Linked DNA regions of Xenopus tropicalis. Each later gene encodes a partner of the first gene's protein in a complex. Links are inferred from orthologs where the notes say so. Each region holds a gene or a part of one and is shown on either strand. Other genes may lie near its edges. The genes, in order: zmynd8 and dbn1.

What was found.
Region 2: the proteins of zmynd8 (region 1) and dbn1 are in contact, whole or in part, in a crystal structure (PDB 5Y1Z), measured with the Homo sapiens proteins. The link is inferred for Xenopus tropicalis from reciprocal best matches to the Homo sapiens genes ZMYND8 and DBN1. Residues at the interface, in NP_001350670.1 of Homo sapiens: Gln167, Pro168, Gly169, Thr170, Gln236, Ile237, Val240, Lys243, Ile244, His247, Trp269, Leu285, Gly287, Phe288, Phe307, Gly309, Gln310, His311, Asp312, Ala314, Thr335, Lys336, Ser337, Ile338; in NP_004386.3 of Homo sapiens: Met1, Ala2, Phe6, Ser7, Arg10, Leu11, Leu14, Tyr17, Glu18, Asp92, Ala93, Cys96, Ala97, Ala99, Ser100, Lys104, Glu107, Phe108, Gln110.

The regions. Positions count from the first base shown.
Region 1 is NC_030686.2:37,276,129-37,279,948, forward strand, and holds part of zmynd8 (protein kinase C-binding protein 1), read left to right. Parts: intron 1-1,102; coding exon 1,103-1,180; intron 1,181-2,144; coding exon 2,145-2,260; intron 2,261-3,567; coding exon 3,568-3,820. UniProt on the Homo sapiens protein: Chromatin reader that recognizes dual histone modifications such as histone H3.1 dimethylated at 'Lys-36' and histone H4 acetylated at 'Lys-16' (H3.1K36me2-H4K16ac) and histone H3 methylated at 'Lys-4' and histone H4 acetylated at 'Lys-14' (H3K4me1-H3K14ac).
Region 2 is NC_030679.2:45,916,759-45,921,127, forward strand, and holds the start of dbn1 (drebrin), read right to left. Parts: upstream 2,803-4,369; 5' UTR 2,750-2,802; coding exon 2,532-2,749; intron 1-2,531. UniProt on the Homo sapiens protein: Actin cytoskeleton-organizing protein that plays a role in the formation of cell projections. Required for actin polymerization at immunological synapses (IS) and for the recruitment of the chemokine receptor CXCR4 to IS.

The DNA.
Region 1 (3,820 bases):
GCGACTTACATTTTCGCCGGTGGGATGGCAATCCGGGGAGATTAGTCGCCCGCGAACAGGGAGTTTTGTCGCGGGCGACTAATCTCCCTGTGTGCCAGAGCCCTAAAAGTTACCTGTGGACTAATATAAGAACAGCAGAAGGTGAAAAATGTTAAAAAAATGTTGAAAAATGTGATTCTTCATAAAAGTTATACCCTCATACTGTACTGTCTGTGGCAAACAATATGGCAGCTCCTACCCTTGTGTAGGAATAACAGTATACAGAGAAGTCCACTTGCTTCACTCAAAGTAAATAAATACAAACACTACCTATAAATGGACTTTCCTTTGCCTGTTGTTGGTTGTGTTGTTGGTTGTGTTATACAGTGTGGCTACATATTGGAGGCTGGTACTTGATTGTAAATGAAATGTAGAGCGTGAGAGTAACTTTCATGATTACATAGACTACTCACAAACCATTGCTAGTGATTTTTCTGCCTGCTGGAATTATCCATTGGAGTCTGGCAGGTGTTGGGGATCATACAACAGGGCTGCAGGAGCACCTTCATGCTTATATTTGGCTCTACATCGCTCTGCAAAGAGCAGCAATTTGTTAGTGAATTAATTTTTCGCCACCTGGTGTTCAGTAGTGGAACTGTGTAAAGTGTAACAATGTATCAGTGATTATTTCTGCTAGAGCCAAGTTAGAAGATGTCCATGTTATCATGATCATTTATTTATATAGTGCCGCCAAGTTACACATCACATTATAATAATTAATGTGAGGTCCCTACTCACATGCGCTTGCAGTCAAAAGGTAGAGGGAGCAGTTGACATGTAACAATGTCGGCAAAGTCTCCCAAATCACATTAAGTACAAGTGAAACAATTGGCAGCTCGCACCCATATGTTTAAATATATTCATATACAAACAGAGAGAATTTCGGTGCACAGACAAAAACTGCCATCTTTGTACTGTACTGTTCTGTATAAGGGCCAATAAAGATGACAGTTGCTCATTCATGGGATGCTGAAGATATCAACATACACCCCCAGCTGCACAGCATTGTTTTTACAATTGGTAACATCTCGATACTAACCTCATTCTATTGATTCCTTCCTAGATGAATGAAATTGAAGTCTGTCCTGAATGTTATTTAGCTGCTTGCCAAAAAAGAGAGAATTGGTTTTGTGAACCCTGTGTAAGTATTATGTTTGTTTATGAATAGGACACTGGGCGTTACACTATCCTTAGTCACTTTAATTTGTCTTTTATCCTACTGAGACTTCTTTCACCGGCAGCTTTGATCTGTTATCTGTTGCTTACAAATCAGATCTCAGGGGAGATATCACTAAAGGCGCCATAGTATTATGGTATCTCTCTGTACAGGCTATGAGCAAACTTAGGGGGCTGTTCCTGCTGAATTGTGCTTAGTACAGGGGAATCCCTACGCTGCCATAGTTTTATGGTATCTCTCTGTACAGGCTATGAGCAAACTTAGGGGGCTGTTCCTGCTGAATTGTGCTTAGTACAGGGGAATACCTATGCTGCCATAGTTTATTGTAGAGGTATGGGATCCATTATTTGGAAACCCACCTCCCTTAGGCTCCAAATAGTGCCTTGTACTTGATCCAAACTAAAATATAATTTATCCTTGTTGGAGGCAAAACAATCCTATTGGCTTTATTTAAAAGTTAAATGATTTTTTAATAGACATAAGGTATGAAGATCCAAACTATGGAAAGATCCCTTTTCCAAAAAACCCCAGGTTCTGAACATTCTGGATAACAGGTCCCATATCTGTATCTCTGTACAGGCCGCGAAGACAAGTAAAACTCTGTGCAGACTTGTTCCTGTTGCAGCATTGTCTATGCAAAATAAATTATATTTTTTAATATTTTATTAGTGATTTTAAAATATAGATACTGTATATTTTTGAAAGTGTTGTGATCTGCTGCCAAAGGACCATCCAACTGGAAATTTTTTTCTGGCTCACAGCCAGCCCAGGGCAACACTGACTTCTATACTCCAACTCCCTAGACTTGTAAAATATTAGATGATCGGCCTGTCACATGGAACATTCAGACAGCTGTGTGCCACAGTAATATTACATAGATCTGATTCCTGATTGTACATCATGTAACTCTTTCTGGTTTTCTCTTTAGAGCAATCCACACCCATTGGTCTGGGCAAAATTAAAAGGATTTCCCTTCTGGCCTGCAAAAGCACTTAGAGATAAGGATGGACAGGTTGATGCACGATTCTTCGGCCAGCATGACAGGTGGGAGAACAGTTCTCAGTGTTCTGATAATGCTAATATGTTCAGAAACACCAGATCATAAACAAGGAGCAGGTTATTAGCAAGGCTTTATATATCCCCCCATTGTAAGCAGCAGTCCTGCCCTGCTCTATGGCTGAGATTCTAGCTATCTGTATAACAGAGCATTCTGTCACAGTGGCACAGATCCTATCTGATCCCCCCATTGTAAGCAGCAGTCCTGCCCTGCTCTATGGCTGAGATTCTAGCTATCTGTATAACAGAGCATTCTGTCACAGTGGCACAGATCCTATCTGATCCCCATTGTAAGCAGCAGTCCTGCCCTGCTTTATGGCTGAGATTCTAGCTATCTGTATAACAGAGCATTCTGTCACAGTGGCACAGATCCTATCTGATACCCATTGTAAGCAGCAGTCCTGCCCTGCTTTATGGCTGAGATTCTAGCTATCTGTATAACAGAGCATTCTTTCACAGTGGCACAGATCCTATCTGATCTCCATTGTAAGCAGCAGTCCTGCCCTGCTTTATGGCTGAGATTCTAGCTATCTGTATAACAGAGCATTCTGTCACAGTGGCACAGATCCTATCTGATCCCCCCCCATTGTAAGCAGCAGTCCTGCCCTGCTTTATGGCTGAGATTCTAGCTATCTGTATAACAGAGCATTCTGTCACAGTGGCACAGATCCTATCTGATACCCATTGTAAGCAGCAGTCCTGCCCTGCTTTATGGCTGAGATTCTAGCTATCTGTATAACAGAGCATTCTGTCACAGTGGCACAGATCCTATCTGATACCCATTGTAAGCAGCAGTCCTGCCCTGCTTTATGGCTGAGATTCTAGCTATCTGTATAACAGAGCATTCTGTCACAGTGGCACAGATCATATATGAAAATCATTTATAGGGATTCTGTCATGATTTTTATGGGGTACTTTTTATTTCTAAATTACACTGTTTTCATAGCAAATAATTCACTCTACCATTTAAAATTTTATTCTTGAACAAATGTATTTGTAGCTGTAATATTGGTGTGTAGGCGCCATCTCAGTGCATTGTGCCTGAGTCTGAGCTTTCAGAAGGAGCCAGCGCTACACATTAGAACTGCTTTCAGGTAACCTATTGTTTCTCCTACTCCCATGTAACTGGAGGAGTCCCAAAGACATTGCTAAACAATAGAGGAGTAAACAAAACCCAATAGATTTTCTAATTATGTAGGTTTTATGAATCTTAATTTAGTGTAATGTTAGGGGATCATTAGTATCATTTTAATGTAAATGTGTTAGTTATTTAACATGATTCTTAATGATTTCAGGGCCTGGGTACCAATGAATAACTGCTACCTCATGTCTAAAGAGATCCCCTTCTCTGTAAAGAAAACAAAAAGCATTTTCAACAGTGCTATGCAGGAGATGGAGGTCTATGTGGAGAACATCCGCAAGAGGTTTGGGGTTTTTAATTACGCCCCTTTTCGGACACCTTACACGCCTAACAACCAATACCAAATGCTGCTGGATACTGGGAACCCAAGTGCTGGAACGGCCAAGACAGAGAAACAGGAGAAAATC
Region 2 (4,369 bases), on another chromosome or scaffold:
CTGCCACCAGGAACTATGGATCTGAGTGCTTTTGTAACACACATTTTTAGAGGTTTCCCCACATTAAAGGGTAAGAAATGTCACTCCACCAGCAATGAACGCAGTAGTGAAAAAGAAAATAAGTGGTGAGTATGAAGAGGTACTGAGAAGCATATGAGCAAAGTCATGTTATACCAAATATTAATGCAAAAGTTGGATATAACATTCATCATTAGTGCTTTTCAAACTTTCCATGTAATGAGCCACTGTCTGTTATACCTACACTGCAATCTATAGAATTTCCAAAACTATCCTTAAAAGTCTCCACTTGGTGGGTGCCCTGTATGGTGAGGCAGGTTGTGGCACAGGCGCTGAGGAGTCAGGTAAGAGGTTGTGGGGCAATGATGTCAGAGGGTACAGACACTGGCAGCCAGGTGAGGGGGTTCAGGCGCCGGGCAGCCAGGTGAGGGGGTTCAGGCGCCGGGCAGCCAGGTGAGGGGGTTCAGGCGCCGGGCAGCCAGGTGAGGGGGTTCAGACGCTGGGCAGTCACATGAGTATAACAGGCAGTAGATGGTGCAACTATGAGCAGTGGATATAGGGAGATGTATGTCTTTGGAGGAAATTGTGGAAAACAGAACAAAAAAGAACAGCTACCAGAGAAGGGAAAAGGGGAAAAGACAAAGAGATTAATACAAAGAGGTTAGGGAAGGAAAGATGAGGTAATCCAAAGAAAAACCGAGATTGAGAGCCAAGAACACAATTCACAGGACAAAGCCGGCCAAAAGCGTTAGTAACTAGATCTGCATCATGCCTTCAGCTAACACCCACAGATTCCTTGCACAGAGAATATCTTTTTCTACGTCCAGCTCTCCCATCCCCAGGTATGCGTGCCCCCCTTACCCACCTCATTAACCCCTGAATTCCCCTAATCCCCCCATGAAGCTGGTACAATCCTGTGAGCTGATCTCAACCATTTTTTTCACATGCTGTAATCATTTGTCTGATCTCACCCTGGCAGACTTCCCCACCCTCCCCCCAACCCTAACAGATTCTGTATAGACCCACCCAAATGTAAGTTCTCAATGTCTCCCCAAGGTCTCCTCCCACTTGTACCCCCCAAAAAAAAGCTCAGATAACATGAAAAACGAAATATGTTCTCTCTCTTCAGTCCTGTGACCCACCCTCCCTTCTCACCAGTAATGTGCTCCAATTCCCTTTCTACTGAAGGCGAGACACAAAGAAACCTAGCTGACAATACACCCCCTTCAGCCCTTGTGCTCAGCATCCCAGCCTGTGTGGGCATCTGTGCATCAGGAAATGTGCCTGGCAATGCAGAACCCTGCTGCTTCATGCTGCCTGCAAAGCCCAGCACCCCATGCAGGAGCCAGCGTTTAGGAACAAGCCTGCAGGTCACAAGGGGGTGAACGATGAAGCAAAAATGAACGCAGTTCTCCGGACCTGAAAGATCAGTATGTGCCTTTCAGCCCTATGTTCTACTAGGAATCTCTAGCACGTACACATAACCTGAACAATACACTGTATCCAGCGACTACTCTGCACTTCCACTCATTGCAAACCTACACAGAACTCTGTGGCTAGACAATGAGAGCTGCTCAGTCTGTCTGTTGCCCATCTGCTATTCCCAGCATCCTCTAACAGCCAGAGGTTGAGATTGCTAGTTCAGTAAGAGCTGACATGTATGATAGATTGAACTGCACATTATACATTCAAGGTGGTTATGTCTTACACACAATTAAAACCTTCAGCGCACCCCTTCCTATTTCACTACGTACATCTGACCTTGCAGTTTCAGCATCCTCATGTGCCACACCCCTCTATTATGTGTCAGGCTTTACCCACTGCACCCCTTGAGCAGAGGCATCTGCACCCCACTCCCTTCCTTAATTCATTTAAGACCCCTCCCACCAGCAGACATAAAAGATGTGACCCACCAGAATAGAGTGCACTGGAAAGAAAGGTAATAAATGCTGATCTCCTAATTTGAACTAATCCATTCAACGCCAGTCCACAAGTGGGCATTACGGCAATGACTGGACCCAGCTCCAATATGCCGATAGGGTTAACATGTTATGCATTCAGCCTGCAGTAGAACAAGCCTTAATGGCCGGTGATATGTGGAGGTGTGGATGTGCACTGGGCTTTGTGTATTCTTGTCCTGCAGCCATCAGTGGCTATTCCCCTGCCTCCAAATGCCAATGTGCTTGCCACCCTACACTAGTTATCCCCCCAGCATCCAGTAATCTGTGCCACAGCTCTCAGCAATAGGCATGACTGGCTACCCCAGGCACCCCATTGGCATGCTAGGCGTGCTGCATCACTTGGTACCATCGCCAGCTGGCACTTAGCTCCAAGCACTGCTACATCAGTGCCACCACTGTGTGCCCTAAAGAAACTGCACCCCAATCACCTACACCTCACTCCTTAACTGGTACCATCGCCAACTGGAACATAGCAACATGCACTGCATACATCTGTCTCACCTCCATTGTGTGCTCTAGAACCTGCACCCCAATTCCCTGCACCCCGCTTACCAGTCAATGGAGTTCTGCTCCTCTATGACATCCTGATAGGCTGCCAGCAGCTCCGGGCGGTGGGGTTTGAAGCTAACGGAGGCCATGCCGGCTGCAGGCTCGCTGAGTGCCGGGGGATGGAGAGAGAAGGCAGCGGACTGAGGGAGGGAAGGAGAGGGATGGGGAGAGGAGGGCGCACTGACACACTGCAGCTGGGGAAGGGGAGGGACTGCGGCCATCGCTGAACCGCCGGGTCCTAAAGCTGCCAATACAATGTGCAACTGGCTCCTAAATCATGAGGAGACAGTCTGCGTGTGTGTGTGCGGCATTATAGCACTGAGAGCACTACAACTCCCAGCATCCTCCTAGAGTTTGTGGGAGGAGACTTGCATTTGTAGTTTAGCATGAACCTAAGGCACACAGGCTGGTAATATTGCTGCATCTCCCAGCTGTACCTCATGCAGGGAAACAGATTCAAACTGGATGTCCATCCAAATGGTTTTGCACAATGACACACTATATATCATTATAAGCTGCTTTCCAAAATACATCCAAGTTGCTCAATTAATGCATTGCTATTGAATGCTGTGCCTGTGTATAATATCTGCACTACTGGTTCTGACTCCTAAAAAAATAATAGATGAAGGCAGCTGATTAACAGACCCTGGAGGAGACCTGACTCCTGTAACAGTGTTTCAGCAGTCAGATCTAAGAAAAAAAGGGATAAATTAACAGTGCTTGCAATTACAATTAACTTTTAAAACCATTAAAAATGTTTAATAATATACTTATTTTGGCAAGTTGCTTAGAATTATATTTTATTTCATTATGAAAAAAACATTTTGGGGTGGAAATGTGCAATACGTTCTGTGAAATGAATTCCAGTGTTATGTAATATAATAGGTTACACATTAACATCAATAGTGGCACAAACCCTTTGGTATTGATCCAGGCTGCTGTTTGTTGTGAGCACATCAAGGGCTTCAGTACAGACTGGTAGGAGCATATCATGAACTTGTTATGGGCGAGTTATATACCAGGCATGGGGGTGGGGGTAAAAGGTAGTACATCTGTAGGAAGCATTTTCTCTAGGGCCTTAAAAGTCAATATTTAATTCTTGGAAAATGAGATCTCTGATGGCAGCCCTGCTTATAAAAGAAAGGGCAAACGGAACCAAAATAAGAATGCCGGTATGAATGTTTTTTTGCTGCCACTGGATGGTTAAAACGTCCTGCTACAGGAGACAAAATGACATTTACAGCAATACTGGCTACAAATCAGTAGCAGTCAAATAAATGGATATTTACGTGTCATGTGCAAAGCTTCCTTTTTACTTTTTATTATAATATATGCTTCCTGTAGGGCAACATTCATTTGATGTGCAGCCTGCACTTTAGTCCTTTATAAGCCTTCCCTATAAAATGCATGATATGGGGGTCAGCTTGGCATGCTCAGGGCTGTTCACTTTATGTCTCAATCCCATTCATCAAATCCATGTGCTGCAGGGCCCATTAGTAATCAGCACAAATGCATGCTGCAGACTGCACTGATTTCTCAATCACAGGATGTACCTGATAACGGATCAGCCAACCAGGATGCAGATTTATATGTGACAAATATTTAAAGGGGAACTGTCACTACATAAAAACAACTCCAGGTTGCAATGGACATTTCATAACTCTGATATTTGCTATAATATTCTTTTTCCTATAGTTTCTGTCTAGTTTTTGTTTATTAATGGACCCCCTCAAGCTTTTTTTTTCCTGCTGCAAACAAATAACTTGTGCTGTGAGTTCCAGAGTAAGGGCAGAAATAATAGATTATGCCAGGACAGGGATCAATAAATAATGATATAATGC